Astyanax mexicanus: one gene and its partners. The protein of the gene in region 1 purifies or fractionates together with the protein of each later gene. This does not show direct contact. Links are inferred from orthologs where the notes say so. Each region holds a gene or a part of one and is shown on either strand. Other genes may lie near its edges. The genes, in order: stx6, stx7l, vti1b and vamp3.

Region 1 (7,281 bases):
AATTCCCTTCTGTGACCGTGGCGGGGTTAGCATCCGCCTCACAGTCCGAAGAACTCACTTCAGCTCCTTTAGCTTCACATTGAGATTCACAGGTCACAGGAGAAGATGTGAGAGAAACATCAGTAGTAGAATCCTCTGAGGAAGACTCCTCTTCGGCCTGATGTTTGGAGTAGACGCTGTGGAGATCTGTGGAGTCTTCCACAGCCTGGCTGGTGTGCTGAACCTCAGGATCCTCTGGAACCACAGGATTCTGGTTGCAGTCAGTTGATGGGGACAGAGATTCCTCAGGGGCTGGAGTGAGTGGCTTCTCCTGGTTGGAATCCATCAGCTCCCACTCCTTGGCCTCAACATGCTGGGTGTTGAGGCAAACCCCACTGTAGTAATCACTCAGATACACTTGGCGTGCACTTCTGAGCACCAGAGACACCAGGAGGTTTTTGTGGAGCTTGATGCCTCCTCGTTGAACCCGGGAGTTGTAAATTTTCCCCAGGGAGATACTCATTATCCGATGGGCCTCCACTTTATACTCCATGGTCAGGCTCGATTCAGGAACACTCGAAGCAAAATAAATACAAGCAGTTTCAAAGTTCAGCTCCAGTCAGAGAAGGCTTGTCAGCAGGCTTGTTCTCCTTCAAGTGTGAGTCTCATTGAAACATTGTCCATCCAAAAACGTCAAAAGAAATGGTCCAACAAGCTTTAGAAACACTCACTTGGTCTTCAAGTAGTTTTTAAATGAAAATAAAACCTATTTTAAAATAAAAGAAGCCTTACAATTCCTCTAATTTAGGAAAAAATATGGTTCTCTACTCGTTTTATCAACTTGATACGATAAATAAAACCAACCGCCACATTTCTGTGGTTAAAGAACGTAATACTGATAATTCTATGTTATTGGGTTATACTATAAGCCTGCATTACCTTCCGTACGGTCTCTCTCACCCAACAACAGCCTAGAGAGGAATGAGACCGTTTCTATATTTAGACCGCTTTTATACCCGGACGTAACGGCTACGCTGACCAATCACATCGCGCGCTGAACGCCACCGACGCTGTCAACCACGCCCCGCGAAACCACTGCGGACCAATCGGAACGCGGGATGCAGATTAGTCATATTTAAATACTAACGTGGGAGAAAAATTTAAAGAGACCGAAATGTTTTTAGGCTGAGCAACCGAATTATTACTAAAAACATCAATGAAAAATTAAATAACTAAAAAAATTACGTGTAAAATTAACAGCAGTATTTTTGGGCTCTTAGACTGTAATTATCTTCTGATGGTGGCTATAAACACTGAGGATCTGTATTATCATTTATAAAACGACTGATACGAGTCTAAAATCATGCTTACAAACATAAATATAGCTAAAACGGTGAAATGGTGGTTTTCTTTTTAAAATACAACTCACTTTGTAAAATCTCACAGACTGTGCTATTTTAAGGCGTGCAATGTCTTGTTTTTGACCGCTGTTAAATAAAAATGGCCGTGTCCCCTTTAACTCTCCTTGCTTTCAGCCAACATCCTGGACTGATGTAATGGTTTGTGTCTCCTACAGGCGGGTCACGTGGTCCTATTGTGCAAATCCTCTGCGGTGTCTGAGCAAATGTGAATGGGAGCCGTTAGTGAGGGGGAGGGGAGGCGGTGTTTTGTTTCAGGACCCAGCTAAAGCCCAATGTGACACCAGACTGAAATAGCTGAACGCCTCGCGAAGGCTTAATACATTTAAATACGCAGCGGTCCTCTGGTAAACAATTCCAGGTTATCTTTCCCACTGTGTGCTCGATATAGGTCACAACCCGCAAAACACCGCGCGGGGAAAAGCAGGGAGTGACGTAACACGTTTTGTGTTTACAGTGTGTGTGGAGGAGAGTGTGAGAACCCTGCTAAAAAACACAGCCCAGCTGATTTCAGATAGTCTGGACTGGTATGTACTGGTCAAGGCGAATAAAATAAGCTGGTGATTCAGGTGAAAACATACCCTGGTTAATCAGCTCAGCTCTGGCCAATTATAAGTGTATTTTTCATAATGTTAATGGACTGGTTTTTCAGCCTGACCAATTCAACAAAGCTGGTTTAATTTGGTAAAGCAGATTTACTAGTTTAGGCTGTTTGGTAAAGTCGGTTGATCAGTTTTGGCATTTTGTTAAGACCAATTGATCAGTTTTTGCAATTCGGTAAAACTGATTATCCAGTGTTGGCAGTTTGTTGAAGCCCATTGATCAATTTAAGCAGTTTGGTAAAACTGATTGATGAGTTTGAGCAGTTTGTCAAAGCCATTTGATGAGTTTTGATAGTTTGGTAAATATGTGTGATGAGTTTAGTAATCTGTTTAATGAGTTTGGGCAGTTTGGTAAAGCTGATTGATCAGTGTTGGCAGTTTGGTAAAGTAGTTGATCAGTTTTGGCAGTTTGCTAAAGCCGATTGATAAATTTAGGGAATTTGGTAAAGCCAATTGACTAAAAAAATACCCTGTTATTCACCCAGTTTGTCCAGGTTGGGTCATCACTGCTACACTACAGCTACATTTCTGTGAGGTTAAGATAATTATTATTGTACTGACCACAACTGTATATCACTGGCATTATATTGAAAATGAACTGAAGTGATGTGTTGTTAAGTCATGTGTATCATTAGCTACACTTAATATACGTGTTGAACATCTATTCACAGACGCTTAGACCAAAATGGTTAGTTTTTTTTGTAAGTGTATTTTGATCTGACCTTTTAATTAACTGCACGTAGACAGGAGACACGGTGGTGTATGTTACCGGGATACTGTGGTGTAGGTATCCCAGCTAATGAATGAGCCTCATGAATATTTAAAGCATTTTAAGTGCTGCAGTCAGCAGTGCATTCGGACAGAGGTGGTAACAGTGACCATCAGGACCGGTGTGACTGTGAATGGGCCTGTTATGGGTCTACATTCATGTCCTGACTTGTTTTAAACACAGGAATGATTAGGCAAAAAGTACTGACATATAGATATATACATATATGTTTTCCTTTATATGTCATTGGTTGTTCAGATCAGCAATTTCAGTTAAATATATCATAGAGCAGATGAACACAGTGATATTTAAGAAGCAAAATTAAGTTTATAGGATTTACAGAAAGTGTGCATTAATTCTTTAAAACAATATTAGGTAGGTGCATAAATTTTGCACCCCCAACAGAAAAGTACATCAATATTTAATAGATCCTTCTTTTGCAGAAATGAACACTCTGAACACTTTCAATAGCTTCCAATAAAAGAGTCTGGCTCCTGGCTGAAGGTGTTTTGAACCATTCTTCTTTACAAAACATCTCCAGTTCAGTCAGGTTTGATGGTTTCCGAGCATGGACAGCCCACTTTATATCACACCACAGATTTTCCATAATATTCTTGTCTGAGATGATCATTCCAGAATGTTGTACGTGTTCCTCTGCATGAATACCTTAGTAAATATTGAGAAGAGTTTAGGGACGTGTTCTCATTGAAGTATCCAGCCCTGGGAATTTTTTACTGTAGACAGCAAGTGTTTGATTGGGAATGCTTTGTTCTTTTTCCGCCATGCATACTGCCCTCCAAATAATTCAATTTTAGTTTCATCAGTCTACAGCACCTTATTCCAAAAGGAAACTGGTTTGTCCAAATGTGCTTTAACATACCTCAAGCTACTCTGTTTGTGGCCTGTGTGCAGAAAAGGCTTTATCTTGCATTACTCTACTATACAGCCTCTCCTTGGGCAAAGTGCACTGAATTATTTATTCTGATCAATAAAATGACATGGGTGCCAAATTTTATGCACTTACCTAATTTTGGTTAAATAATTATTGCACACTTTCTGTAAATATTATAAACTTCATTTTACTTCTCAAATATCACTGTGTTTGTCTGCTTTATGATATTTAACTGAACTGCTGATCCGAACAACCAGTGATTTATTAAGGAATATCATGAAAATTATCTGGGGTGCCCAAACTTTTTCATACCACTACAGATAGACAGACAGACAGACATGCAAACATTCTATAAATAAATACATATTATTTGCACTTTACTTTATTAAAACATAATTAATTTTCAATGGTTTTTTCAGATTTCACAGCTCTGCTGACCTCTGCCCCGGATTGAGTAGAGGGAGTGATGGCGGAGGGCGCAGCTCAGTCCCGCACATAAACAAACCTTAAACCCTCAGCGCTCTCACAGCGGCCACAGACACGGGCACAGCCGCCGGGGTCTGGAGCATGACTTTATACCAGAGGAGCCATTTACTGTGAGCAGCACCATGTCGATGGAAGACCCGTTTTTCGTTGTGAAAGGGTGAGTAGAGTTAGCTTTTCTCAGAGAGCGGAGCTAGCTAACGCTAACGCTAATGTTAACACGACCCAGCCTTAACAACAATGGACCATGCTGAAGTTCTGTTTTACAGTCTTCTCAGATTTATTACAGATTTAATATAGTTACCGGAGTGTGTCTTTGAAGGAAAATGTTTGTACCGTACTAAATTATTTTTCTTTACACACGTTAGTTAGCTTAGCTAGTCCGCTAACTAACTAGCTTAACTGCTTTGTTATGATGCTTTAAACTAGGTTGCTATTAGGCTAACGCTAGTTAGTCTAGCTGCTATCTGCCTGCATTCATTACTAACTAGCGTTAGCTTTTTGGATTGGTTTAAATTTTGTATAGTAATAGGATAATAGCTAATTCATTTTTTATTAAGAACTCTATACAAACAGGCTTTAGGTAACATACATTAACGTTACATGTCCAAGTGTTTGCAGGTACTTTAAATGTACACTATTAACGTGTATAAGATTTTTACAGTATCTTACAGCGTTAAAACATAGTTAACGCTAGTTAGCTAACATAATATCCAAAGCTGTATTAAACTGTCGCAGAAATATGGTGTTTTGCCAGTGACAGACATTGTTTTTAACCGGCTAATGCTAATACACAAACACTACAGAACCCCAATTCATATTAAATTCCCCAATACTTTATTATACTTATTTCACATTTATCAACAAATAAGTTTTTAGTCCAGAGTTTGCTCTATAACGCACAACACAGACAAAGGGTTATAAAGCACCTAGGAAAAGGTTGGTTAAAGGAAGAGGTGTAACAATATTCATGTTTTTTAACTAATAGCTTAGTTAAATCAGTACTGAATGTCTTATTGTTTACACTGTTATTAAAAATAAGGGATCTTGGCTAAACCGCAAGGCTGAATTATTTACATAAGCAAAAAGTTCTGACTGAATTGGTTTCTGCTGATGCTCAGTAGAAGACTGGTAGAAGATTGGGTAGAAATGTTTTGCCACTATAATAGGATTCTGGAGGTGATAAACATGATAATATTAGGCACCATGTATGGTCTAGAGGGGTATAAAGACTTCAGCATTGTGCAGTGGAACTGTGTTCTCTGGATTGATAGTGTTTTATGTAATTCTTTGGTGGAAGAGTCAGGGCCACCAGCTAATGCTCTTGTTGCTGAATGCAAACTAATGTTTACAGTACTGCTATAAAATCTAGTAGAAATAGTCACTCCAACAATTACAGAATTATTTTTCGTATTTTTTGTAAGACCCCATGTTTTAGATTACCCCGATAGTATCTATACTTTGTATCAGCATTATGTCCACATTTATGCATAAATAGCCCTGTCACAAAAAAACTTAGCAATATTGTCCCACAATTGATTGCGATAATACTTTTGTGATCAAGACATTTTATGCCCATTATTTAATGTTGTGAAATGTACTTGGGTTGTAGTGAAACATAATGACAAGTACAAACTTTTGGCAAATAGGCCACCTTTGTTTACCCGGAGTTCCAAAATACACTGCTTTTTGCCAGTTCTCCAAACAGGCTTACAATGTTAGAGATGGGAGCATAGTGTTGCTCATGCAAAGAAATTAGCTACTTTTACACCATTATCGAGCTCAAAGTAGCTCCACACTTCATTGGTAGAATTCTGAGAACCCTAACATTTAAAACGAGCCACTGAAAACTTTAAAAGTGCAGATAGTTTATTTAAAAAACCTTTAGGTAGTACTCTCGGCACCGCCATCTTGAAATTAAGCCATTAAAAAGTCGACTGATGGGCACTTTCAAAGTGTCAGGGTCCTCGGAATTCTACCAATAATTTTTTTTTACCCTTGTTAATAGTGTAAAAACAGTGATTCCTAGGGGCAATTTCAAACATCTCCAGTTTACCTGAACGGTGGTCTTTGGACTGTAGGAAGTAACCAGGACTCTCTTCACAGAAAGATCCTGGTTGCTCCAGCTGGGATTTAAATCCAGGTCGTCTTAATGTAGGTGACCGCGCTACCCACCACGTCAACATTCTGCCCAAACAAAAGAAATAAAACTAATAGTAATGCTCTTCTTGCTGAGGAATCCACAGTGGTCAATACTGAGTTACTATTGTATGACAAGCAAATAATGTAATTATTGTGACAGGCCTATGCATAAATTGCTATTCAGAATACATCTAGGATAAAGTTATTTTCCTAAGTTGGCCAGCTAGATATGTGCTTTAACAAGCCAAGCATTCACAGCCACCTCAGTAACTCTCACTATTCTGAATATTCCTCATGTTGACCTGGAATAATATGTCCCTTTGCTTAGAGAGGTCCAGAAGGCTGTGAACACTGCACAAGGTCTACACCAGAGATGGAGTGAGCTTCTTCAGGATCCTGGTGGTGCCTCCAAGGAGGAGGTAGACTGGACCACCAATGAGTTGAGGAACAGCCTGAGGTCTATAGAATGGGACCTGGAAGACTTGGATGAGACTATTAATATCCTTATCATGCTTCTCAGATCAAAACAATGTTTTTATTTGTTGTTATTCATGCTCCTAATACTACTTTAAACAAAGCCTTAACAGTAATTTCAAGTATTGTAGAAGCAAATCCAAGAAAGTTCAATCTTGATGCGGTAGAGTTGAGTAAAAGGAAAGCTTTCATCACCAGCACAAGACAGACTGTCAGGGTGAGTTTACTTTGGGTTCTTTAAAAAGTTTTTCATGGTGATTATTACCTGTATGCATATCTCTGATTTAGTTAAAATTGTCATATTATCAACTACATTGATCATTTGTCAATATGAATAATATAATGTTATTAACAATGTTAATCATGTTTTTCTTTTTTTGTAGGAGATGAAAGACCACATGGCTAGCCCAATGGCTGTCACCATAACAGACAAGAAAAGCAGACAGGTATGTATGTCAAGTTATACAAGTCTATCAACTTAGTTATTTTCCCATAGGATTGTGGGCTATTGTAGTTTGATTA
Region 2 (7,370 bases), on another chromosome or scaffold:
AGTATGACCATTTCAATTATTATTACATACTAGAAACTGCATTAAAAAATAACTAGTAGTTCACAGTCAGCGCTAATCAATCTATTCCACTCACTCTGCTGTGTGATACTCTGGATGTTTGCGCCGATTGTCTGAGCAAGTAGATTCGGGTCTTTGAATCCAGACATGGTGAAGATTAAACCAGCCTTTCAGTTCCTCCAACTCTAGAATTTGGTAGAGGATACATAAGTAACAACACATTAAGAAGCTCACAAGCCACAACTGACAAATACTTGTATTTTTCACAGCAAGAGGAACAAAAAAAGACAAGATCACGGCATGATTTTTCAGTATATGTATATGTTTTCTGTTTAGTCTACTAGAAACTTTTCTCAGCACTTTTATTTTAGTCCCTCATGTTTAGTTCCCAGTTCCTTTTTGACTTTAGTTTCATTCGATTTTGTTTATTCAGCAACTGGACTGCTCTACACAAAATAAATACTGAAATTGAAAAACAATACATTTTACTGCTTACATTTTTCTTTAAACATTTAAAGTACTAAGTGTGACATGATACTGATAAAGCCTATGTTATTGTGTGTTATACCAAATAGGGGTGGGAATCACAGGGCAGATCCCAATATGGTATCACGTTACGTTGCCCATGGTATCGATAATATCATAATACTGTGACTCAATATAATGCAAGACAATTCTGTACAATAGAGGATGAAGAGAATAAAATACAAATATCAGGAATGATGGATCAGTTTTACAGAATTTTACAAACAATATTATTTGTCACAGGTATACCCTTTTTATTTGATTAGCGCCCCCACCTAAAAAAACAGTGACTTTTGTAAGTCAAATTGAGGGCCGAGTCTTCTTAGAGCCCCTATGTTTCAATAAAATATAAGAAAAATAATGATAATTGACGCCACATCAGCATATGTTACAGTCAAAGCGATATGATAATGTATTGTCCCACCACTTGTACCAAACAGTTCCACACATGAATCAACACATCATGTAACACCAAAGAAAGTATATACTTTATTGATTTATAGTTGTCTATATAACATTGTCAATATAACATAACTACATTATAGTTTATATTGTGGATGTCATCAATTCTTTTAAAGTGTGCCAACACATGCTTTTATTTATTTCATCTGCAATGTTTGCCACTATTGTGATACATCAAATATTGTGAAATTGTCTTGACATATCATATGGCATTTATGCCACATTTCCTACCTTAAAAAAACAATACTTCACTGTCTTGCTGTTGACGGAAAAGGGATACCTGATAGCATAAATAATACACAATCCATTAAATTGCCATCCGTAATTTACATACAGGTCTGGAAAAAAACGCGAGACCACTTAAAAATTATGAGTTTCTTTGATTTTACCAAATTGAAAACCTCTTGAATATAAACAAGAGGAAGATGATCACAGTCATCAAACCAAGCTGAACTGCTTGAATTTTTGCCCTAGTAGTGGCATAAAATAATCCAAAAGCAGTGTGTAAGACTGGTGGAGGAGAACATGCCAAGATGCATGAAAACTGTGATTAAAAACCTGGGTTATTCCACCAAATATTGATTTCTAAACCCCTAAAACTTTATGAATATAAACTTGTTTTCTTTGCATTATTTGTGGTAAGAAAGCTCTGCATCTTTTTTTTTGCAATTTCAGTCATTTCTTTTTTTTTTTTTTTTTTAAATAAATGCACTAAATGACAATTGGTAGAAATATTGTCCGTAGTTTATGGAATAAAACAACAATGTTCATTTTACTTGTACCTATAAATAGCAAAATTGGAGAAACTAATTTAGAAACTAAAGTGGTCTTTTAATTTTTTTCCAGAGCTGCATTTGTTCATATTATTTTAGTAGTTGTGCTGCTTCATGATTGATCTCTTTTGATAGCTACTCACAGTAAATGAAACTACCGACAACTACCTCCCCCTGAGGATGGACCTGCAGACAAGAGGGTCCTTCCTATAAGTAAATACAGAGCCAAAATATACCAATACTCTGTACTAAATAAAAAGTAAGTAGGTTATATACTTTTATTTAATTGCAGTTTCTCATAATTAATAAAGGGACACTCTTATGGAGTTCGTAAATCTCAATACTTTTTTGATGACCACTAATCCTTTTTATGCAGGTCTTTGACACACTTTAGTGTGTTTTAGTTTGAGCATGGTACAAGGTATAAAAAGTTTGATAAGCACCGGTTTAGAGTTTGTCCTTCTCCCAACTCATCTGTTAAAGGAGGAAAACACTACAATATAAAGAGCAGAATGTATCACATTATTTAAAATCACATGCATGTGTGTTTTAGTTTGATTATGGGTGGTACAAGGTGTTTTAGAGATTGTCCTGCTCCCAAAACATCTGTTCCAGCTACTCAGCAACTAACCAAGCTCCTCCTGACATGAACTTGGTGTGTAAAGGAGGAAAACACTATGATATGTACAGCAGAAGTTCTCCAGGCCACACTGCAGTCCTGTAGGAGAAGACTGAACCCGGGCCTGAGAGCTGTTTCTGACAGCTGTTCTTACTCTTGTCTCTAAAATACTTTTACTGGAGGATTTGGGAGATTGTACTTATGTCATTAGACAACCTGCTGAGCTTCACAGTCTCCTCTAAAACTCACCTGCTGAACTTAGACAACAGCAAAAATGCGGAAACTAACAAACACACCCAGAAGCAGCTGTCACCAGGTTCAGCTCTCAGACCAGCCTTACACATGTGTGTATATATACAGTATACATACACAGTATATATAGGCTTTATAGGATCTAAATATCAATGTAAGTTTCGCAGAAGTCCCTATAAAGACCGAAACTCACTTATTTAAGCTCTAAAGTCACAAAAAGAAACGAAACCACACTGGCAGCGAAAGTGTTCACGCACCAGAAACCTCCAGCGTCAGTTAACCTAGAGTTAGTTACTGACGCGACACCTAATATACAATACTCTGCACTATTTAACACATTTCCGGATATTTTCACACCACTGTACGTCTCTTAAAGCCGCTCCACATTAAACACAGTCAGTCTCCGGGTTTATCAGCTGTATTAAACGCGTCTTTTTTAGCTTTACCTCGGTTTCCTCGGCTTTGGTGAAAGTATTCTCCACAGCAGACTTCCTCACAGCTGAAGTCCAGCCTGTCACGTGAGAGTCTGTCGGGCGGTGATTGGAGGATTTCACGGTTGTTTTTCCGCACCCGTTTTCGGACAAGGCCCGCCCTCTCCTGCGCTGAGATTGAATAGAATTGTCACTTAAATTAATAAATTAAACTACTTTTTTGCAGTTTAGATATTTTTAAATGTCAAGACAAAATCTTCAACGATAAACTAAACACTAAAAACTAAAAAAGACACCAAGCCCAGTTATCATTGCTTATGTCAAAGGTTCTCAAACATTTTACAACCAACCTGTTTATAACCAAAGGTGTCAAGACAGTATTCAAATGAATGTGATTATTTACAATAATATGTTAATTCAGAAGCCCAGAAAGAAACTGGACAAAATTAACACCCTTTTAAAATGGCAAGAAACAACTGGATTATTGTCATACAGTGCTTCTGTAATTAGCATTTGTGGCACATAACAAATGCAATATACACTGATAAAAAAAAAGGTCACACACTCTTATATTTTGTTGGACTGCATTTAGCTTTGATCGCGGCACACATTTGCTGTGGCATTGTTTCTGTAATGTCTTAAGATTTATTTCAATCCAGTGTTGCATTATGTATATTTATTTATTATAAGTTTCTCATTGGAGCAAAGTTCTGGACTCTGGTGAACAATCCATGTGTGAAAATGATGATCTCATGTTCCCTGAACCGCTCTTTCACAATTCCAGCACCCTGAATCCATGCATTGTCATTTTTGAATATGCCCGTTTCATCAGGGAAGAAAAAATCCATTGATGGAATAATCTGGTCTATATTCTGTATGTTCAGGTAGTCAGCTGACCTCATTCTTTCAGCACATACTGTTGCTGAACCTAAACCTGACCAACTGCAGCAACCCCAGATCTTTTGCTTAGTTAAATCCAGGGGACGACTTGTAGAAAAAAGATCACATGTTCAGCCAGTTTTAAATAGAACAATTTTGAGTGCTTGTATTTTGTTTTAAGACATTATCTGCCCATGGCACTATACAAAAATATGTGGACAGTGAGACAATCTTTAGTAATTGGGCTCTGCATGCCACCACACTGTATTTGAAATGAAACAAATGAGATGCAACTGAAGTAGACTTTCAGGTTTGATTTAAGGTGTTGAACAAAAACATCCAATGAAGTGTTTAGGAATTAAAACTATTTTCTAAAATGACTGCCTGGATTTTGGAACCCATCAACATCCTATATGATGCTTTACCAGACTGCTACTGCAGCTGTTTTCAGTTGTTGTTTGCTTGTGGGTTTTGCCTTAAGCAAGTGAAAGGCACCTTGATCGGGTTGAGATCTGGTGACTGACTCGGCCACAGCAGAATATTCTACTTCTTCACCTCAAAAACTCCATGTTTTGGCTCCATCTGTACAGTTTAGCCCTGTTTAACTAACCTTTCTGCATTTGGTTGAATCTAAGCATAAAGTAAATCTCTGTACACTTCAGAATTCATCCTTTTGCTTCTGTCTTATCTTCAATAAACACTAGTGAACCAGTGCCACTGGAAGCCATGCATGCTCATACCACCACCATGTTTAAAGCGGCAGTGCGTATTATTTTGTTTCTAAACTAAAAGCAGAAGCATTTCTGAGTGAAGAAGGGATAAAATATTGTGTTTAAAGGTACCAGTGTGCTGGAACGACCATCCCAGCTTAGCCTAATATATTCATTCTAAAAACTAGGGTTTCGGGTCAATAGTATATATTATATGCAGAACCAGAGACTGCAGTTTTAGGACCGCAGTAGTTTCAGGACCGCAGTTCTAGAACCCTATGTTTTCGCGACACTGCCACCTAGCGAAATTAATGACTTACTACTCCTTAATATAATATCATCACTTTATCTAACAACTTACAGATTTGAAGTCTTATCTCACCCAAATATTACCAATTCAGCTAACTACTTTTTAATGTTTATTTCACCCAAATATCACTTTGTCTCAGAATTTGTCTTAGAACTCCCAACCACATATCAGAGACACAAGGATGTCTTTGGGCTCTATTATGTATTTGATATCTAAAATGGATTCAAACTACTTTTCGAAAGATTGAAATCTTTTTGGAACTTCAAGTTAATATATAATAATATCTAAGAAACTGGTCAGGCAAAACAAAAAAAGAGTGGTCCAAAATTCCAGTATAGAAGTGTTTCTGAAGCCTGTGGTATGAATATTTTGTACAGTTTCTTTCTGCAGTTCTGTGTGGAAAGATGCAACATTTTTCTTTTTGCTTTTTTGTGTTTTGGTTGTTTATCAGCGTAGGTGGTGCATTTTCTGTAAGAAGTGCAGAGATGGCAGAATTTTGGCCATTTCTGTAAATGTAAATGTGTGGCAGTAAATTGCACTGTCCTACAAGCCTGAAATGTGGTAAATACTTGACTTCACCTATTCAGAGTCCTGCCATCCCCACAACCCCACATTTTAATTAAACAAATTAATTTTTAATTTGATCACTAACACGAAATGCTTTTGCCCCAAATTATGGCACAATGTTTCCTTTATAAAACTGCAACCAGACAGTTTAATGATTAGGATGTACTGTTTAAAAAGAGAAAAAGCGGTGTGGTGAGAAATTTTACATTCTAAAGATATTGTTCATAGGTGATAAATAGAAGAGTCCACAGAGTTCAATTTAAGAGAAATAAAGTTTAAAGCTTCACCACAGAAAGTTATTTAAAGAAAGTTTTGAAATAGTTTACATAGTTATGAAATAAATCTTTGAAAATGTATTCAAGGTGAATGAATACATGACAGTGCATTGTGGGGCAAAATAGTCCCCAACAAAAACCTATTTGTTCAGATTTGCATTCTACCATTGTCATTACATAGATAAACATATAAGAGGTTCTTTGGTGTTTTTAGATGTTAAAATGTAAAAATGATGATTAATTAAAATGATTTATTTTGTTTTGTAGTCATTGTGACATTTGTTTCCCATAACCACCATTGTAAAAACATGAAATAGTATGTATAACATAAAAATCTAAAAATGAAAAAAAAATAATATATATATATATATATATATATATATATATATATGACAGTGTTCTCTACTGAAAACAACAAAACAGCTAGTTTGATAATCTGATCCTGAATCTGTTCACATTCCATAACACAAAAATCAAAAATAAAATATTTCACATTAACACATTTCATTTTCTTACATTTACTTAATGTAACACATTCTATGCATGTGCGCATCTAAATATGTAAGTCCAAATGCTATTGATCAGTGTTAAGCAGTTTAAAATGCAAATAAATGATGAAATGTGACATACATTTTATTTATTCATTATAATACAATATATTTTACTCTTTAGAAGAACTAAAGTACATAAATAACACAACCTGCTATGCTAAAGACATTTAAGCTAGAAAAATGTTTGTGTCAGAGGAATGAGGAGTAAATATTCTCAGTGTAACAATAAGATAGAGGGATTTCCTGAACCACGGGTAGAAGAGGCCATATATTATAGGATTTAAAGTTGAATTAAGGTAACCCAGCCAGACAAGCACTTCAAAGAGTACCGCAGGTGTGGAGAAGTTGATGTAAGGATCAACTATAGAGTTAACAAAAAAGGGCATCCAGCAAAGAATAAATGCACCTACTACAATGCCGAGGGTTTTTGCTGCTTTGTTCTCATGTTTCACACTTTGAGACACCGTATTCATGCTGGTCCCTTTCTTGCACTGCTTCTTGCCTTCAATTTTCGTCGCATGCTTTTTTGACACCAAAAATATTTTAGCATACAAACAACCCATGACCGAGCATGGCAAAAGGAATCCAATCAATGTATCCAAAGCCCCCCATAGTGCATTAAACAAAAGGTCACAACTTCCCACACAGAAAATTGACTCCATATACTCTTCCAGATTTGCTACGTTTGCTTTTGAATACATTAGACCATATGAATACACCGCAGCTGTAGTCCAACTCAGAGCTACCATTAACCATGCAGTGGGTATAGTTATTCTTGTGGGGTAGTGAAGAGGATGGCACACAGCCTGATAGCGGTCTGTCGCAATACAGACCAGGTGGAAGATAGATGCAGAGGTCAGAAGCATGTCAAAACTAGAGTGCAGTAAACAAAAGCCTTGTCCAAAGTACCAGCAGCCATCCACAGATCGGATCGTGCTGAAGGGCATGACAATCATGCCCACAAACAGGTCGGCCAAGGCTAGAGACATCACCAGAAT
Region 3 (8,232 bases), on another chromosome or scaffold:
TCCTTCATGTACACATGCACCCCATGGCAGAATGAGTTAATCTACAGTAAATTAATTCATTCCAAGTCTAAGCGTTTGTGTTCATACTGCTGCGTGATGCGTCTGTACATCAAGGGGAGTTGGATTTTGGCACAACACCAGTTCTTTTTTCCTCTGGTTTGTTCAAAGACTGCCACAACTTTCTGTAACTGGTCTGAAAGTCTGAACCATCTAGAAAAGTGTTTTTACACTGCACTATTTCACACACTTTTTCTCCTCTAAACTGTCTTTCCATCTTCAGTTTTTAAAATGTTCTATCAGTGATCTCTACTGGGCTGACTTGGGTTGCAAATTTGACCACATGGCACAGTGTCCATGTTCTTTGCAGTCATTGTCTGTTACCAACTGTAGTTGATCGTTATGACTGTGTAGAAAAGTCACTTTGGGCTAATAAATTTCTCTTAAATTTGCTAATTCCCTCTAACTAGTTAAGATTCTCCTTATTAAAAAATGCTACAAGCTAAACATGCTTCACCCTCCTAATTATGAAGAAACACCTCAACTTTTCGAACTGCCCTTAAAGGAGAAATCCAGTGTGAATGGACTTGGGGTGTAGTGAAGCATGATAACTACTGCTAGCAGTAAAATCGCTGTATTTCAGGATGCTGGGGGTGAACATTCGTACAAAGGTTTGTATTCATCATCATGTTTCATTACACCCAAAGTCCATTTTACACCGGAATTCCCCTTTAATGCTGCACCACTTAATCTTAACAAGTTTGGAGGAGAACAATAACAATGCAAATTCTGATACAACAGCTAACAGCTAAAATCGACTGCACTAGGTATTGAGGGAGAAGGGTTCCAAACATTTTAACTTGTGATGAAACCTGTTTCTTTTATCAGTCACTGGTGATGTACAAATTGGTGTGTGTGAATTTACCTCTGAGGAATCTCTGTGCAAAGACTCGGATGGAGCGGGTATCAGCCAGGTCCAACTCCCGAACCTCCACCTTAGCCCCACCCACCCGCCTGCGGATCTCTGCGGCCGTGTCCTCACCTTTCTCCATATCCCGACAGGCCAGGATCACCCGTGCACCTGCACAATAACACACACACTTTACATCTACACTTTATTCTCCAATGCTCCTCTTTATATCTTTGTTTTTTTCTACAGTGAAGTGTTTGGCTGGGGTGCTCCCTCACCCCGCAAGGCCAGGTCCACTGCCGTCTCCTTCCCAATCCCGCTGTTCGCTCCTGTAATCAGTGCAGTTTTCCCATCCAAACGTGCTGTGGAGAGACACACTCCGCCTGCTGCGTATTTCCTGCAAACAAACCTTTAGTTTTTTTTTGTAAGTGTGTAGAAGTACATAGTTTTTACTGTCAAATTATACACTATACATACACTACAGACTCATGTTGGATTAACCTCACTACATAACTACTACTTTTTTACTACAAGACATTGCAGATTCATACTGGATTAACCTGACTGTACAATATTTATGTACTATTTTTACAGTAGATTGATTGAAAACACCACATGCATTGCAGATTTTTACTGGACTACAAATATAGGCTGTACTATTATAGGAAGCCAGATAAATTGTGATATATGTACTAGTGCATTTAAAAAAAAAAAAATATCATTGAAAAGTTACTTTATTTCATTAATTCAGTTCAAAATGTAAAACTCGTATATTATATAGATGTATTAAACACAGAGTGATCTTTATTAAGCCTTGTTTTATTGTTGATGATTATGGCTTACAGCCAATCAAAACCCAAAAGTCAGTATTTCAGAAAATAAGAATAATACAAAAGACCAACTAGTGTTTTTGGCAGTGTCCTGCTGGAGAATGAAATCCACATCTCAATAAAAGTTGTCAGCAGAAGAAAGCATGAAGTGCTGTAAGATTTCGTGGGAAAACACTGCACTGACTTTGGACTTGATAATAAAACACAGTGGATCAACACCAGCAGATGACATGACCCTCCAAACCATCACTGATCATCAGTAAATTTTGCATTTCATTTGTAAATCAAGGGAGCAGAGTCTGGAGGAAGAGTGGAGAGACACACAGTCCAAGCTGCAGATTTCATTTTTCAGCAGGAATTGGCACACTGCCCATACTGTCATAAGTATCAATTTGTCTGATACAATATTCTAATTTTCTGAGACACTGATTTTTGGGTTTTCATTGGCTGTAAGCCAAAATCATCAACAACTCTGTGTGTAATCCATCTATATAATGTGTTTCACATTTTAACTGAATTACTGAAATTAAGTATCTTTTCTATGATATTCCTTTTTTTAACAAAGTTTAAAGATTACACATGTTCATTTAATAGTAATTCAGGATTCTGTTATATTAGCTCTTGTAATATTTTTTTGTTTAATTTCAGTCTTGGCAATTAATTTTATACTAACATGAGAAGAATAGAGCCAAACCAACCTCAGTACTTGTGGCAATAAATGTACTAAGACGTTTCACTAAGGTCTCGTAATAAAGTCGTCATTACTTTATTAAAACACTATTTTATATACAATATTTTATCCAGAGCATCATTATAGCCTTCTCTGCCCACCTCCTCTGAACACCCCCACATGCCTCCAGGTGGTACGACCCACACATAATTACCATACGCAGTCCTCTGCACCCAATCAGCCTTCGCCTACACTGTGCATGCATAATTAGCCCCGCCCCCAGGAAGATCTTATTGGCCGCCTTCCTAAACTGATCATATTCAGCGGAGGCGGTTACTATAGTGGTCGTGCACCATTCAACTGAACAAAACCAGCTCTCTCAACCAGTATAATGAGATATACATTTATAAAAAACATAAAAAGATGTATATTAGCTAAATTACAACACACAGCTATATGCTTACTATCTAATATACCCGACTAAGGCCCCTGTCAGCGAGCCTGAGCTTCACACTGTTTACAATTAGAGCACAATTTAGAGCACATTCTCGCTGGATTATACATTTCTATTAAGCGTAAATATGTATATAAATATATTGCGCTTAAATCCTGCTTTAAAATACAGAGAAAGCTCAGCACACGCAGCGATGTGCCTACCTGATGTGGGAGGACAGCAGTCTCAACACTATAGCTACGAATCCGAAACCTGCCACCACGACAGCGAGCATGATCCTTTACAAATAAAAACTCAATAAAAAAAAAACAAGGAGAATTCAGAAATCCTCAAAAACAAGCCTCTCTGCAGTCGTGTGACTGCTGATGCGAATCCGTGGGGCTGTTTAGATTTGGTAACTCCCACTTTCTCTAGCGCCCTACACAGAAAACAGCTGGGAATCATGGGATTGTAGTTTTTGTAGATGGGGACTGTAGTTTTTTAATCAGTTTCAAAGAGTTACTCAGGTATTATACATAGTAGGATTTAAAATACTTCTGTAGAAGTTGAAGTATCAACTCAAGCTTTTTACTCTTTAAGTAAAAGTGTAAAAATACTGCTTTTAAAAATACTTAAAGTGTAAAAGTAAAGGTCATGTAAAGGGGAAAAAATGCCATTAAGGACAAAACCTTGGGACACATGGCCCTATAGTGCAACCCTACTCTATCTAGATGGATAGATTTATCTGGATAGTTTTTTTTAATGATAGAAATCCGTAATAAAAACAAGGTGTAATGAAAGGAGTAGAATATTCTCTGAAAAAATAGTCATCTGAAAGTTATCTAAAAAAAATATTACTCTAGTAAAGTATAGATAACCCAGGTAACGAAGTATGTATATGTATATATATATATATATACTTTTTACTTTATTTTTCTGTATTCTAACAAAAAACTAACTGGAGTTGTAGTGTGTAAAGTATTCTTTAAGCACCTCTCTTAACTGAAAATCATAAAGTATTCAAAAGCATAGTACTCAAGTACAGTAGGTAAAAGTACAGTACTGTGTTACTATGTGTTACTATGTAATTATTACAGACAGCAGCAGCTCACTTTGGTTGCCAGTGGTTTAGACATTAATAGCTGTGTGTTGAGTTATTTTACAAGCTGTACACTAGTGAAAGATCAGTATAAGATCAGCTTGGTGATGAGAAATTTCCTTAAACCTTTTGACAGTGCAGTCCCTGAATTTAATAAACTGCTTCCTTAATTTATTAAACAATTCCCTCACTTTAATAAACAAATTTCTGTTCCTCAATTTAATAAACTGGTCCCTCATTAAAGAAAAATCTGTAGTTAACCTGTGGGGACTAAATGAAGATAATTATTTACTAAATTGAGGAGATAATTTAATAAATTAAATTAATTATTTATCAAATCAATGAAACAAGTTGCCGAATCTGAAAAATATTAATTTGATTGTTTTTTTTAAACAGTACGTTTAAAATATGTTTATAATATGTTCATAATTATACATTTCTTTGAAACATTGAACCTAAGCCTATGTTGAATTTGCCCACTTCCTATTTCAGCCGCTAGAGAGAGCACGGGAGTAAGTCCTCAGGGAATGAATTTTACTTTTAGTACTTCAGTACTACATTTTACAATAAACTACTTGCAATACTTAGGTACAAAAAATGTTTTTTATTACTTCCACTTGTGCTCTACTCAAGTCACTTTTTTTTTATAGAGCACTTTCTCAAGCCTGGGTCTCTAGAACTCAGGTCTGGATAATGCTACACTACAACTGATTGACCTTTTGGTAAGCCGATGCTGGAGGCTTGAAAGGCTTATAACTTGAATTTAAACGTTTTAAAAATCATATGATATGGTTATGTGTTAAGAAAATGTATGAGAAAAGTACATGTTACAGTATAAAATTTGAAAAACACCGTTATTCTCCGATTTAGCTCCATTTGAACCAATTCATTTTAGACTCTTTGATTGAACTACATAGACCACAATGCGCTGCTTTGTTAAGGACGCTGAGAGTCGCCGCAGAAAATGTCGTTACAAATTTCAGTGCAAACTTTAGATTATTATTATTACTTTGTTTAGAAATGTAATATAATATCTGCAGTGTTTTACAGCTCGTCCCCACAGGCCGATCAGTCCGCACTGCGGAGTTTTATTATGCAGGCATGTTCTCAGGGCTCCTATAGTCACGCGGTGGGATGAGGAAGCGGAGTTGATTCGCTGTGTTTATTATTGTGAAGCAGAGAGAGCTGGGAGTTACCGGTGGTGTAAACTGATTTATATAGCGTTATATATGGTTTAGAGCGGCTGATTATCTTTATTTAAGTGTAAAATATTAAGGCCTCTCGGCTGCAGTGAAGAAAGGGGCAAAATGTCGTCGGAGGAGTTTGAGAAACTTCATGAAATGTATAAATCTTTATACGATGAAGTGAAACTGATTCCTGAACGAGTGCTGCGGAGCCACGGCGGTATTTATACTATTTACACCAGCTATTCCATTTATTAATCACCAAAATTATATATTTAGCTAACTAACTTACACAGTTCACAGGTCAGTAAGCAACACCCAGCTTTAACTATATATTCACTGAAATACAACAATCAGAACCTGTAGATAGATAGGTTTCAAGCCTGTTTTTGCCATCCTCTGCCTGCAATTGCATATCTCGGGGCTTTCTACTTATACTGACTATGAACTAGAGGCAGTTTGATAAAGTATTATGACTGAAAAGCCTTTAATGTTTTGTTAGAAAATAATTAAATATATTGAAATAAATCTCCAATGGTGAATGACCCTTGAGAGTTGTTGTGTGGAAACATTTTGCCTGGGGTCTAGCAGGGGTCATCTTTCAGCCTGTACAATTTAACTATAATATCCCAAACAAATCCACGTACAGTAGGCCATTGCTTTTCCTAGTGTTTTTTTGGAATTGATTTAATGAATAATTTGAGTGTTTATAGTGTAACTTGTATTCATTCAGGAAAACGTTCTTGCAATGTATTTTTCAACCCGAATATTTATTAGAAAGGGTTTAAAGTTCAATTGGCATCATAATTGCAAAGCTTTAAAATTGTATCCTATATTGAACCTACGCTGGGCCAGTCCATCACCTTTATATTCAGTTTTATTAGCAAGTCAGAATTGTCTTGGAGGTGTCCTGCGGAGGATACTGTCCTGCGTCCCAGTTTCCGAAGGACTGTCACTCCTTACAGCTAGCAGCACCTTATATAGCCCAAAACCAATGACACTCCCACCACAATGCTCATCTTTAGAAGACGCTACCTTCTAATAACCACTGGAAACCATTGACAACCACTGGAAACCAATGGAAATCTTAGCTTTTTTGTTTGACTTTGGCGTGGACTGTCCTGAGTGTAGGCTGTACTGTTAAATGCCTGGATATCACTGGCAAGCATACTGCAGCTCAATTTTAGGGCTTTGGCTATCTTCATGTAGCCTAGTCCAGTGTTTCTCAACCTTTTTTATATCACGACACCCTTTAAATATATGCGAGATGTCAAGGCACCCCAGTTTAAGGGGGGGGGGGGGGGTGCTGGCGCAGTACTTCAGGTGAGAACTGGGGTGATGTGCTGGCGCAGTACTTCAGGTGAGAACGAGGGGTGTTGCTGGCGGAATTTGACATAAAATAGCGCGTGCATCGCGTGGGGGACAAAAACTTTACAGTGTTTCCCAATTTAGGGGCTGCATCCTTCAGAGGCTGTATTCGAAGACAGATTGCGTCACAGCTGCGCAGTAATCCACCGCCTCTGTGGGTCGCATCCTTCATAGTATGCTGCCTGTGAATTGGGACACACCCCGACACGAGCTGACTCTGGAAAGGAAATATGCACGTGAGGCGCAATATTTTGACGGCACCCCCGATGAAGCCAGACGGCACCCCAGGGTGCCGCGGCACCCTGGTTGAGAAACACTGGCCTAGTCCATCTTTATGTTCTTTTTTTCAGATCCTCAGAGAGTTCTTTCCCGTAAAGTGCCATGTTAAATATCCAGTGGCCACTTTGAGAATGTGTGAGAGCAAAACCACCAAAAATTCACACCTGAGACCTTGTTACACTAACAATTCCATTTTGACTTAAGAGTGTACTCACTTTGGTCGCCAGTGGTTTAGACATTAATAGCTGTGTGTTGAGTTATTTTCAGAGCACAGCAAATGTACACAGATATACAAGCTGTACACTAACTACTTTACATTGTATCAGTGTTTATCTTTAGGTATAACTTAAGCTATAATAAAACTTTGCAAAAATGTGAGGGTTGTACTCACGTTTGAAAGATACTTTAAATGATCTATGTTCTAATATACAATAATGACTATGTATGAAATATATTATGTGCAGTTACTGTAATACAAATTATGTTTGTGTTTCTTTTCTGTTCTTTAGAAGAGAAGAAGAAGTTAGTGAGAGTGTTTGATGAACGTCTTGGGGAGGCAGAGGAAGTGGTGAGTAACTAATTTTACAGCATTTGCAGCTGTTTTTGACTTTTGACATAATGTGAATCTGGCAGTTGTCATTTATGTTATGTCAGAATTACCAATGACTTAATGACTCCTATATGATGATATAGACTACATAATATGTCTGTAAATCTAAATTTTTGGTAAAACCTGCCCAGTGTTTCACAAATAGTATTAATGCGCCCCGTCTGTACCTGTTTGCTGCTTTAACACTGTATTCAACCCAAGTATCAAAGTTTATTTAGTATAAATATAAGAATTTCATACATGCAGTAGAAACAAAAAAAAATGTTTGTGATTTTTTTAATCAGTAACTTACCAAGACCCTGATTTTGTATAAAATAGTAGTGTAACAAAAAGGAAAGAAATGCAACAACAACAGTTTACCACAAAACTAAAGTGTAGCATATAAAGTGCAAAAAAATGAATAAATAACAGTAAATACAGTAAATAGCAAAAAAAAATACAAAATAGACTGCTTTGAAGAACATTACTATTATCACGCTATTGAATTTTTTCTTGTGTCAGAATTTTTGCTGAAATGAATGCTTATGATACGATAAGGCACACCCATATTTACACATGTGCGCTTTATGCTGTCTTGTCTCATACTGTTTGTTCTAATTTGTGTCATGGTCCTGGAGAAACATCATTTCTTGACACTCTGTACTTGTACTGAGATGGAATGACAATAAAAGCCACTGAACTTGATATGCAACTTGTAGTGCAGGAGTATCACACCATCAAAGGTTTCAAAAGTAATTATATTCATTACTTTGTAGGTAGAAATGTAGAGACTAGGGTTTAAAATACATCTGTAGAAGTTAAAGTATCAACTCAAGCTTTTTCCTCTTGAAGTAAATGTGTTAAATACTGTTT
Region 4 (7,517 bases), on another chromosome or scaffold:
GTAAGGTGTCAGCACACCATGCATGTTCCTGTGACAAACACAAATCTCTTTTTATCTTTTAGGAGAGTATTAAATAAATTGGCCAAACTTTTCTCTGTATCTAACCTGTAAAGTTAAGTGTAACAGGTACTGTACCTGTGGTCATACATTTTTCTGTAAAACCTCTGATTCATTAAAATATAATCTTTTTGCACTAAATATCTGTCTTTCTTTCATTCATTGCATATACAATGTATTTTATCTAAAAAATATTTACACATTCATAGAGCTAGAAAATAAACAAAATTCACATATGTTTAGTGTCTTTTTTTAATTAAGTAGATTACAACCTCCATTAGCCTGTACATTAGTATAAATACACTAGGGCATCTAAAAAAAATTACTTACTTTATTTCAGTAACTCAGTTTAAAATGTGGAACTCATTTATTATATAGATGTATTACACACAGAGTGATCTTTTTAAGCATTTATTTATTTTATTGTTGATAATTATGGATTACAGCTAATGAAAATCCAATCAGTGTCTCACAAAATTAGAATATTATGTATGACCATAAAGCATGCTTTCGGCGCATTGTGCCAGGTCCAGCTGGAAATTGAAATCCACATCTTCATAAAAGTTGTCAGCAGAGAGAAGCATGAAGTGCTGCAAAATCTCCTGGTATACACTGCATGATTTTGGACTTGATATAACACAGTGGACCAACACCAAAAAATGTAAAATCTTACAGCACTTCATGCTTCCCTTTGCTGACAACTTTTAAATAGAGATGAGGATTTCATTAAGCTGTTAGCCACAATTATCAACAGTAAAAGAAATAAACACTTAAAATAGATCACTCTGTGTGTAATACATCTATATAATATTTGAGTTTGACATTTTGAATTAAAATACTAAAATAAAAAAAGAAAAGATCACTAAAAAATGGTGAGTTTCTTTAATTTTACCAAATTGAAAACCTCTGGAATATAATCAAGAGGAAGATGGATGATCACAAACCATCAAACAAAGCAAAACTGCTTAAATTTTTTGCACCAGGAGTAAAGGCATAAAGTTATCCAAAAGCAGTGTGTAAGACTGGTGGAGGAGAACATGCCAAGATGCATAAAAACTGTGATTAAAAACCAGGGTTATTACACCAAATATTGATTTCTGAACTCTTAAAACTTTATAAATACAAACTTGTTGTTTTTTTGTGTTTTTTTTTTTCTTTTGCATTTAAGGTCTGAAAGCTCTGCATCTTTTTGTTATTTCAGCCATTTCTCTTTTTCCTGCGAATAAATGCTCTAAATTTGGGAGAAATGTTGTCTGTAGTTTATAGAATAAAACAACAACGTTTATTTCACTCAAACATAAACCTATAAATAGCAAAATCACTGAAGTGGTGTCAGAGCTGTATATAATATCTCAGTATGAGTAAGTTACTTGTAGCTATACGCTGGTAAGGAAACTATGCTTGGAGAATGTAACTCTTAATACTAAACCTTTACATATACATTCAAGCAAAACCAATATACTCTAGGCTGTATATTAAAAAATAAAACAGCAACATAATACTCCAAACAATTCAACAATTTAGTGTTCCCCAAACATGACAGTTTTAACACAAAACTTTGTCAATTCACTGGGGGAAACGTATTAAGAGTTTAGCTAGCTCACCCACTGAACAGGATTAGCTAGCTCTAGCTAGCTGCCCAAGGCCAAACCCACACACTCACACAAAACAGTCCCACATTTTCCAAAAATCAACCTTTTTTGTGTACATAACTTGTCAGAGTCTGCTGTGAAATTGCTATTGTGTACTTTTATAGAGTTATTCATTTATTTTAACCTCTACAAACCTGTAAAACAGGAGAGAAATGAAGAGACAGCTCCAGAGGAGACTCAGTTCTCTGTAGTTCTGAGAGATAGAGGTGGGCGGATCGATCCAAATATCGATAATATCGATACCAACGCTGGTATTGGTATTGAGCAATACTCGTGTAAAAATATCGATATTCAAGCTTTTTTCTCTGCCGCACGCACTGACTGCTGTGCACGAGATTCACCACAGTCTACTCTCTGGTCTCTTGTTGTTGCACATGCATCACATGGCTCAGCAAAGCCAGCCAAACCGCCAGGCAGGTAGGCTCAGCCTGGCCCCGCCCACTCAGCGCTCTCCTCGAGTCCACACGCCTCTACCTCAGGAGATTTGTGTTGAGTGATATTTTTTTACACTCTGTTTATTTAAGAAAAACTTGCATTTGAATTGCACTGAATGGAAGACAATTCCTTTCCAAATGACAATTCTATTAAAAAAAGAAACAAAGAAACAAAGAACTAGAAAAGATGTCTAGTGAGGGGAGAATTTTTATTTTATTTTTTTATATTTTTTTATTTTATATTTAAACTTTGTTTTGTTACTGTTCCATTGTTTCTAAAAAAAATGTTGATTGTGATACTAAAGTATTTTGTTATCACTAATGTTTGGTGAAATTTTATCCGAGGTTTTTGGATCATTTGGATCTATAAAGCTTAAATATTAAAAAGTATCGGTATCAGTATCGATATCGGCAATACTGGCCCTGCGTTTACTTGGTATCGGATCGATACCAAAATTCCCGGTATCGCCCACCTCTACTGAGAGAACAGTGTAGAGGGCGCTGTACTATGTACCTGCCGCCTTCTACTGCCACCCTCAGGTTCGGAGGGGCTATAGCAGGCTTGACTAAAAGAGCTTTATTTGTTGATTTTTTTAACTCAATAAAAGTACAATTTCTATTAATTTTACAAGAATAACACCCAACCTCAAATATGTAAAATAAAATAAAATATTTGCACGTATTTTTCACTTTTTACTAATACTTATTAAGACTATAGATTATATGTAGTTAAATATAATACTGATATAAAAAAAAAACTCTGGTGTAAAATTGACTTTAGGTGTAGTAAAACATGATAAAGAGTACTAACCTTTGTTAAATAGCCCACCTCTGTTCTCCCGCAGCTTTCCGAGATGCAGTAATTTTGTGCTTTTTTCCCAGCACTCTTTACAATGGACGCTTCAGGGCATCCACTTGCCCCTGCAGATAAATCGCTTTTTACACTATAATCCAGGCTTAAAGTAGCTTCACAACTTATTGACAGAATTCGGAGATCCTTGACATTTAAAACGAGGCATTAATAACTTTAAAAGTGCACAATAAGCTTATTAGAAAATAAGGCAGAGATTAGACTACGCTACGGGTTGTAAACAGTGTTTTTTAATGAGCTTCTTGTCCACTTTTAAAGTTATTAATGTCAGGGCTTCTACCAATTCTACCAGTGAGGTGTGGGGCTACTTTGAATTTTGAATCTTTTATAAGGTCATTATCACAGTATACTGTGCTGTTACATTTTAATAGTGGGTTTCTTGACATGATAAATGAAAACAAAAAGCTTGTCTTCTCAAAGAGACCTCAATATTACCCCTTGAATAGGATGAGTTAAAGTCACCAAATAATACATTGTTTAAAAACCGTACTAACTAGCTTATTTTCTGTTTTACATATTTTATCATATCTAGGCCTGTCACGATAAGATTTTTTTGTGGACAATATATTGTAATAACAGAATAACAGAATAGCATAAAGAAGGCAATTAAAAACCTTTTAAAGACAACAAAATGTGAATTAATCAATTATTATAATTAGTTTGGGAATTAATATACTTATTTCTTCACCTACTTTAGTCCACACTGTGTGTATCGAGCCACAGTTATTGAAGCATGACTGGCTAAAATACTGTTCGCTGTTACATATGTGAACAAATATACAAATAAACACAATAGACGATATTACGATTATCAAAAATTATTAAGGTCATGTTAATTTATTGTACGATAAATAGATATTGCAATTATCATACCCCTTGCTGGAGACTACAATTTTATACTTTTCAGTAAATTCTTAGAAGAATACAAATAGACCACCTGAATTCAATAGGTCTAGAACAAAAAATATCACACTTTTAGCAATAACAGCCCTATTATTCAAAGTATAGTTATGTAGTGAAAAGTTATAGGTAAATATAATCTTTGCAGTATTATTTATTGACTGTTTGTGGAAATTTGACAATTTTACAGAGATTTTTAAAACTTTAAAATCACATCTTAATAGAAACTGAATTCCTCCAACTTTACTAAATAGTTTGTTGGAAATGTGGTACCACAGAAGAGCAGAAGTTTCCTCTGTTGTGCAGGACAAGTTTTTCAGAGTTACCAGCCTCAGAAACAGCTCCCCATACAAGTTAACTAGCTCCCTAGATGCTAACAGTACCTAAATGCTTCTTCACAGAATATTTTGGTTTGTTTAACACTTTTAAGTAACTAAACGATTCATTATGTGTTTCTTCATAGTCTAAATCACTTCACTATTCATTTACAATGTAGGAAATAAACTGAGTCAGTAGTTTAGTGTGGAGCTGGCCCTTTAAGTTAGTGTGCTGTGAGACAGTAGTCCACACAGACTGACTGATAGACAGAGCTGCAGCTACTGATCACTACGGAGTTTATACAGCAGCCGGCCCTCTACCGAACACCACATCAACAACCATGTAAGTGTGTTTTATAGCGAATGTGTGGGCGCTTTTAAGCGGATAGATTATATTTATGTTCGCTATATACATATTTAGGAAGTTTGATAACTAGCTAGCTATCTACTCCAGCTAATACTCGCTCAAAACAACGCCCAAACTTCCCCAGGCCTCCCTCAGCAACAGGTTAGCATGCTAGCCAAATAGCTAGCTAACTAGCCAAGCCTAGCTTAGCATAACTTATCTTAGTGTTTTCTTTGGCTGTAACTTTAAAAAAAGCTTCGTGGTTTTGAGTTAAACAGTCTGTGTACCTGATTAGGTTTATTTTTATTTTCTTTAACTAAAAAGAAGCTTCTTTAGTATCAGTTACAGTTAAATACAGTTCCAGCGCCCAGACTAGTTGTTATTAGTTAGCTAGTTAATAAACTTAATATAAGGGCTAGGTTAGCTAGCGCTAGATAGCCAATTAGCTTAGCATAACTTTTACCGGTCTCTTTTACTTAAAAGGCTAGCTGCGTTAAGCTAAGCTAAGCTAACTAGGTCAGTTAACTTCAAGAAACTAGCGACCAGCGTCAAAAAATTGAAGTTTTTTTCCGTGGTTTTACACATTTTTCGTGGTTTTACAGCGCCAAACTGCTGATACATCGTCATTTATTAATAATTACATTAAAACCCCTAATCACTAAAGGATAGAGAAGGAGATGATGTTTTTAAATCCGCGGACAGTGTTGAGAAAACTCTCTGCTATATTTTGTGTTTTTTTCTGGATATTCTATAGCTAAATAACCGCTAGAAACTGCAATTGTCCATCATTGCCACATAGTACGAGATGTGTCAACGGTTTTCTCTTTTTTCTGTCTTAATGAACACAGGAACCAAGCCCAAACTTATATCCTCCAGCAAAAGTAAATGAAACACTCCCTTGTGTGATTAGGCCATAAGGTGCACTAGAAAGTGATTTTCGTTTGTACGTCTGGGGACTATTTTTATTTTATTTTTTATGTGTTTTTGAATTGACAACCCCTTCATTGACGTTAAGTTAAAAAATCTCAATAAAACAATCCTGCAGTTTTTTGTTACGATGCATAAATTTAAGTTATATAAATGCGAATCCAAAAATCCCAACACAAAACATATCCCAAACTTACCTGTACATGTACCTAAATATCTGAGACAAGTATTAATGCTTTAGTACACTCAAATGTGAAAGTAGATCATTGTATGTTTGATCACGAATGCACTGAGAAGGTGTTTATTTTTACAGGCATATGAAAGCCCATACCTTGTACTTAACCCTCCCTAACATGATTTCTATTTTTGGGAAAAAAATATAATAATAATTCAAGCCATTTTTGGGAGCTTGGGAGCCCCTGTTGATATATCAAACTTTTAAATGTGATGTGTTGTAACAGGAAAGCGATTAAAACATGAAGAGAAAGGAGTCTCCTGGACTAAAGATAAGACCCAATGTTTTAGTATAATTGATCAAACATAAGAGCTGTATGTGCTCAGTGTTACCCTGAGGCAACAAATAAAAATACTTTTGTAGTAGGTTTCTATTCATGTCTCACTTGTGTCACATTGTATTGTGTGGATGTTTTCAGTGTAGAAAGTCTAGAAATATAAATAATAGGGCATAAATAAAACAGGCATTGTGCTATTTTTGTTTGTTCTACTATATATACTGCAATATATATATTTTTTAACACCAGATTTCATAAAAAGTTTCACTGTGATCCATTTCTCTCTTTCTTTATACAGAATTTGAGTGTATGTTGGTGTCTTTGACAGTTAAACTGCTAAACAGTCTGTTAAACACAAACGCAATCAGGTAGTGAAAGTGAGAGCAGTAAGATTTAGTTCGGATATGAGCTGTCTGACAGATGGCTCTGCTTGTTTCTTTCATCAGGTGACAATGGTTTTGTCTAGTAATTCAGACATGCAAACCTGTGGTTATGTCTAAGGCAAGAACGCATTATTAGTGGATGTCTGTCCATCTATCTGTCTAACCAGTAAACTTCAAGCTAAAAAACAATTGGCCATTGAAATCAGCCTTTAAATCCCAGATCTCTTACATGCCTTTTCTTCAATTATTTGATTACATTCAGTCATAAAAGTAGTAGTAAGATCAGTTGACCTGTGTAAATACTGTTGACCTAGTCACACAGTGAATGTTTTGTGTTCTGAGTTATTTTAGGGTCGTCTGAGTGGACCTGTAGCTAAAACAAAGAGCATGTGATTTGTTTTCCTGCTGTTGTTTTACTAATCCTAAAAGAAATGTGCTTTCTTTCGCACAGTGCAGTTTACCCCGAGAACAGGTCAGTTCTGAGTAGGTCATGCACAGTATGCAGAATGTAACCTCACAATATGTTGCATTTTCACAATTTGCATTGTGTGTTTTTTTTTTTTTTTTTTGGGAACAGTTTGTCAGAGACATAGACAACGCGCCAGAAAATCACTGTAGTACTGTGTTTACAAACAAAAGGACTGAAAGTTATTAAAATGGTTTTAACTTTACTTCACATTTGAGTGTTTAGCCCTCTTACTTCTGCCTGGCATTAGGCAAAAAGTTTCATGTTTATCTGCACAAAATGTTGTGTAGCAATTAGCTGTGAGAAGATGTGTGTGAGTATTTGCACATCTGTGTCAACTTTGGGTGTTACGTAAAGTAGTTGAATGCGATTGTGTTTGTGTGTCTTTGTTTGTATAGTTTAATAGATACATTTTAAATTGATCTAATTTCTGTACTGCGGTAAAATAGCTATATTATAGATATTAAGTGTTCTGTGAGGTTTGTCTGCTGTGTGCATTAGACCCCGAGGAAAAAAAAAATCAAACAAATCCAAAGAAAGGCATGCTGTACTCCCGTTTCTCTCATAGTTTTGTTACTAAAAAGCCACAATTCTAGAGTAAAAAGATAACCATGCACTTCTTGATCACAGAAATCACAGAAAATAGGCGAAG

The links.
Region 2: the proteins of stx6 (region 1) and stx7l purify together in Homo sapiens (affinity purification with mass spectrometry; 3 studies listed by BioGRID and IntAct, counting the BioPlex papers as one, with this or other methods). This does not show direct contact. The link is inferred for Astyanax mexicanus from reciprocal best matches to the Homo sapiens genes STX6 and STX7.
Region 3: the proteins of stx6 (region 1) and vti1b purify together in Homo sapiens (affinity purification with mass spectrometry; 3 studies listed by BioGRID and IntAct, counting the BioPlex papers as one, with this or other methods). This does not show direct contact. The link is inferred for Astyanax mexicanus from reciprocal best matches to the Homo sapiens genes STX6 and VTI1B.
Region 4: the proteins of stx6 (region 1) and vamp3 purify together in Homo sapiens (affinity purification with mass spectrometry; 5 studies listed by BioGRID and IntAct, counting the BioPlex papers as one, with this or other methods). This does not show direct contact. The link is inferred for Astyanax mexicanus from reciprocal best matches to the Homo sapiens genes STX6 and VAMP3.

The regions. Positions count from the first base shown.
Region 1 is NC_064423.1:15,822,493-15,829,773, forward strand, and holds the start of stx6 (syntaxin-6), read left to right. Parts: upstream 1-4,090; 5' UTR 4,091-4,268; coding exon 4,269-4,303; intron 4,304-6,613; coding exon 6,614-6,782; intron 6,783-6,880; coding exon 6,881-6,976; intron 6,977-7,142; coding exon 7,143-7,205; intron 7,206-7,281. Other genes in the region: ier5 (immediate early response gene 5 protein), read right to left, coding at 1-532. UniProt on the Homo sapiens protein: SNARE promoting movement of transport vesicles to target membranes. Targets endosomes to the trans-Golgi network, and may therefore function in retrograde trafficking.
Region 2 is NC_064408.1:40,137,202-40,144,571, forward strand, and holds the start of stx7l (syntaxin-7), read right to left. Parts: upstream 3,204-7,370; 5' UTR 3,096-3,203; intron 204-3,095; 5' UTR 168-203; coding exon 95-167; intron 1-94. Other genes in the region: trace amine-associated receptor 13c-like, read right to left, coding at 6,540-7,370. UniProt on the Homo sapiens protein: May be involved in protein trafficking from the plasma membrane to the early endosome (EE) as well as in homotypic fusion of endocytic organelles. Mediates the endocytic trafficking from early endosomes to late endosomes and lysosomes.
Region 3 is NC_064414.1:8,056,607-8,064,838, forward strand, and holds the start of vti1b (vesicle transport through interaction with t-SNAREs homolog 1B), read left to right. Parts: upstream 1-5,076; 5' UTR 5,077-5,246; coding exon 5,247-5,343; intron 5,344-7,279; coding exon 7,280-7,338; intron 7,339-8,232. Other genes in the region: rdh12 (retinol dehydrogenase 12), read right to left, coding at 923-1,078, 1,186-1,316, 3,065-3,135. UniProt on the Homo sapiens protein: V-SNARE that mediates vesicle transport pathways through interactions with t-SNAREs on the target membrane. These interactions are proposed to mediate aspects of the specificity of vesicle trafficking and to promote fusion of the lipid bilayers.
Region 4 is NC_064431.1:5,052,360-5,059,876, reverse strand, and holds the start of vamp3 (vesicle-associated membrane protein 3), read left to right. Parts: upstream 1-4,466; 5' UTR 4,467-4,572; coding exon 4,573-4,574; intron 4,575-7,517. UniProt on the Homo sapiens protein: SNARE involved in vesicular transport from the late endosomes to the trans-Golgi network.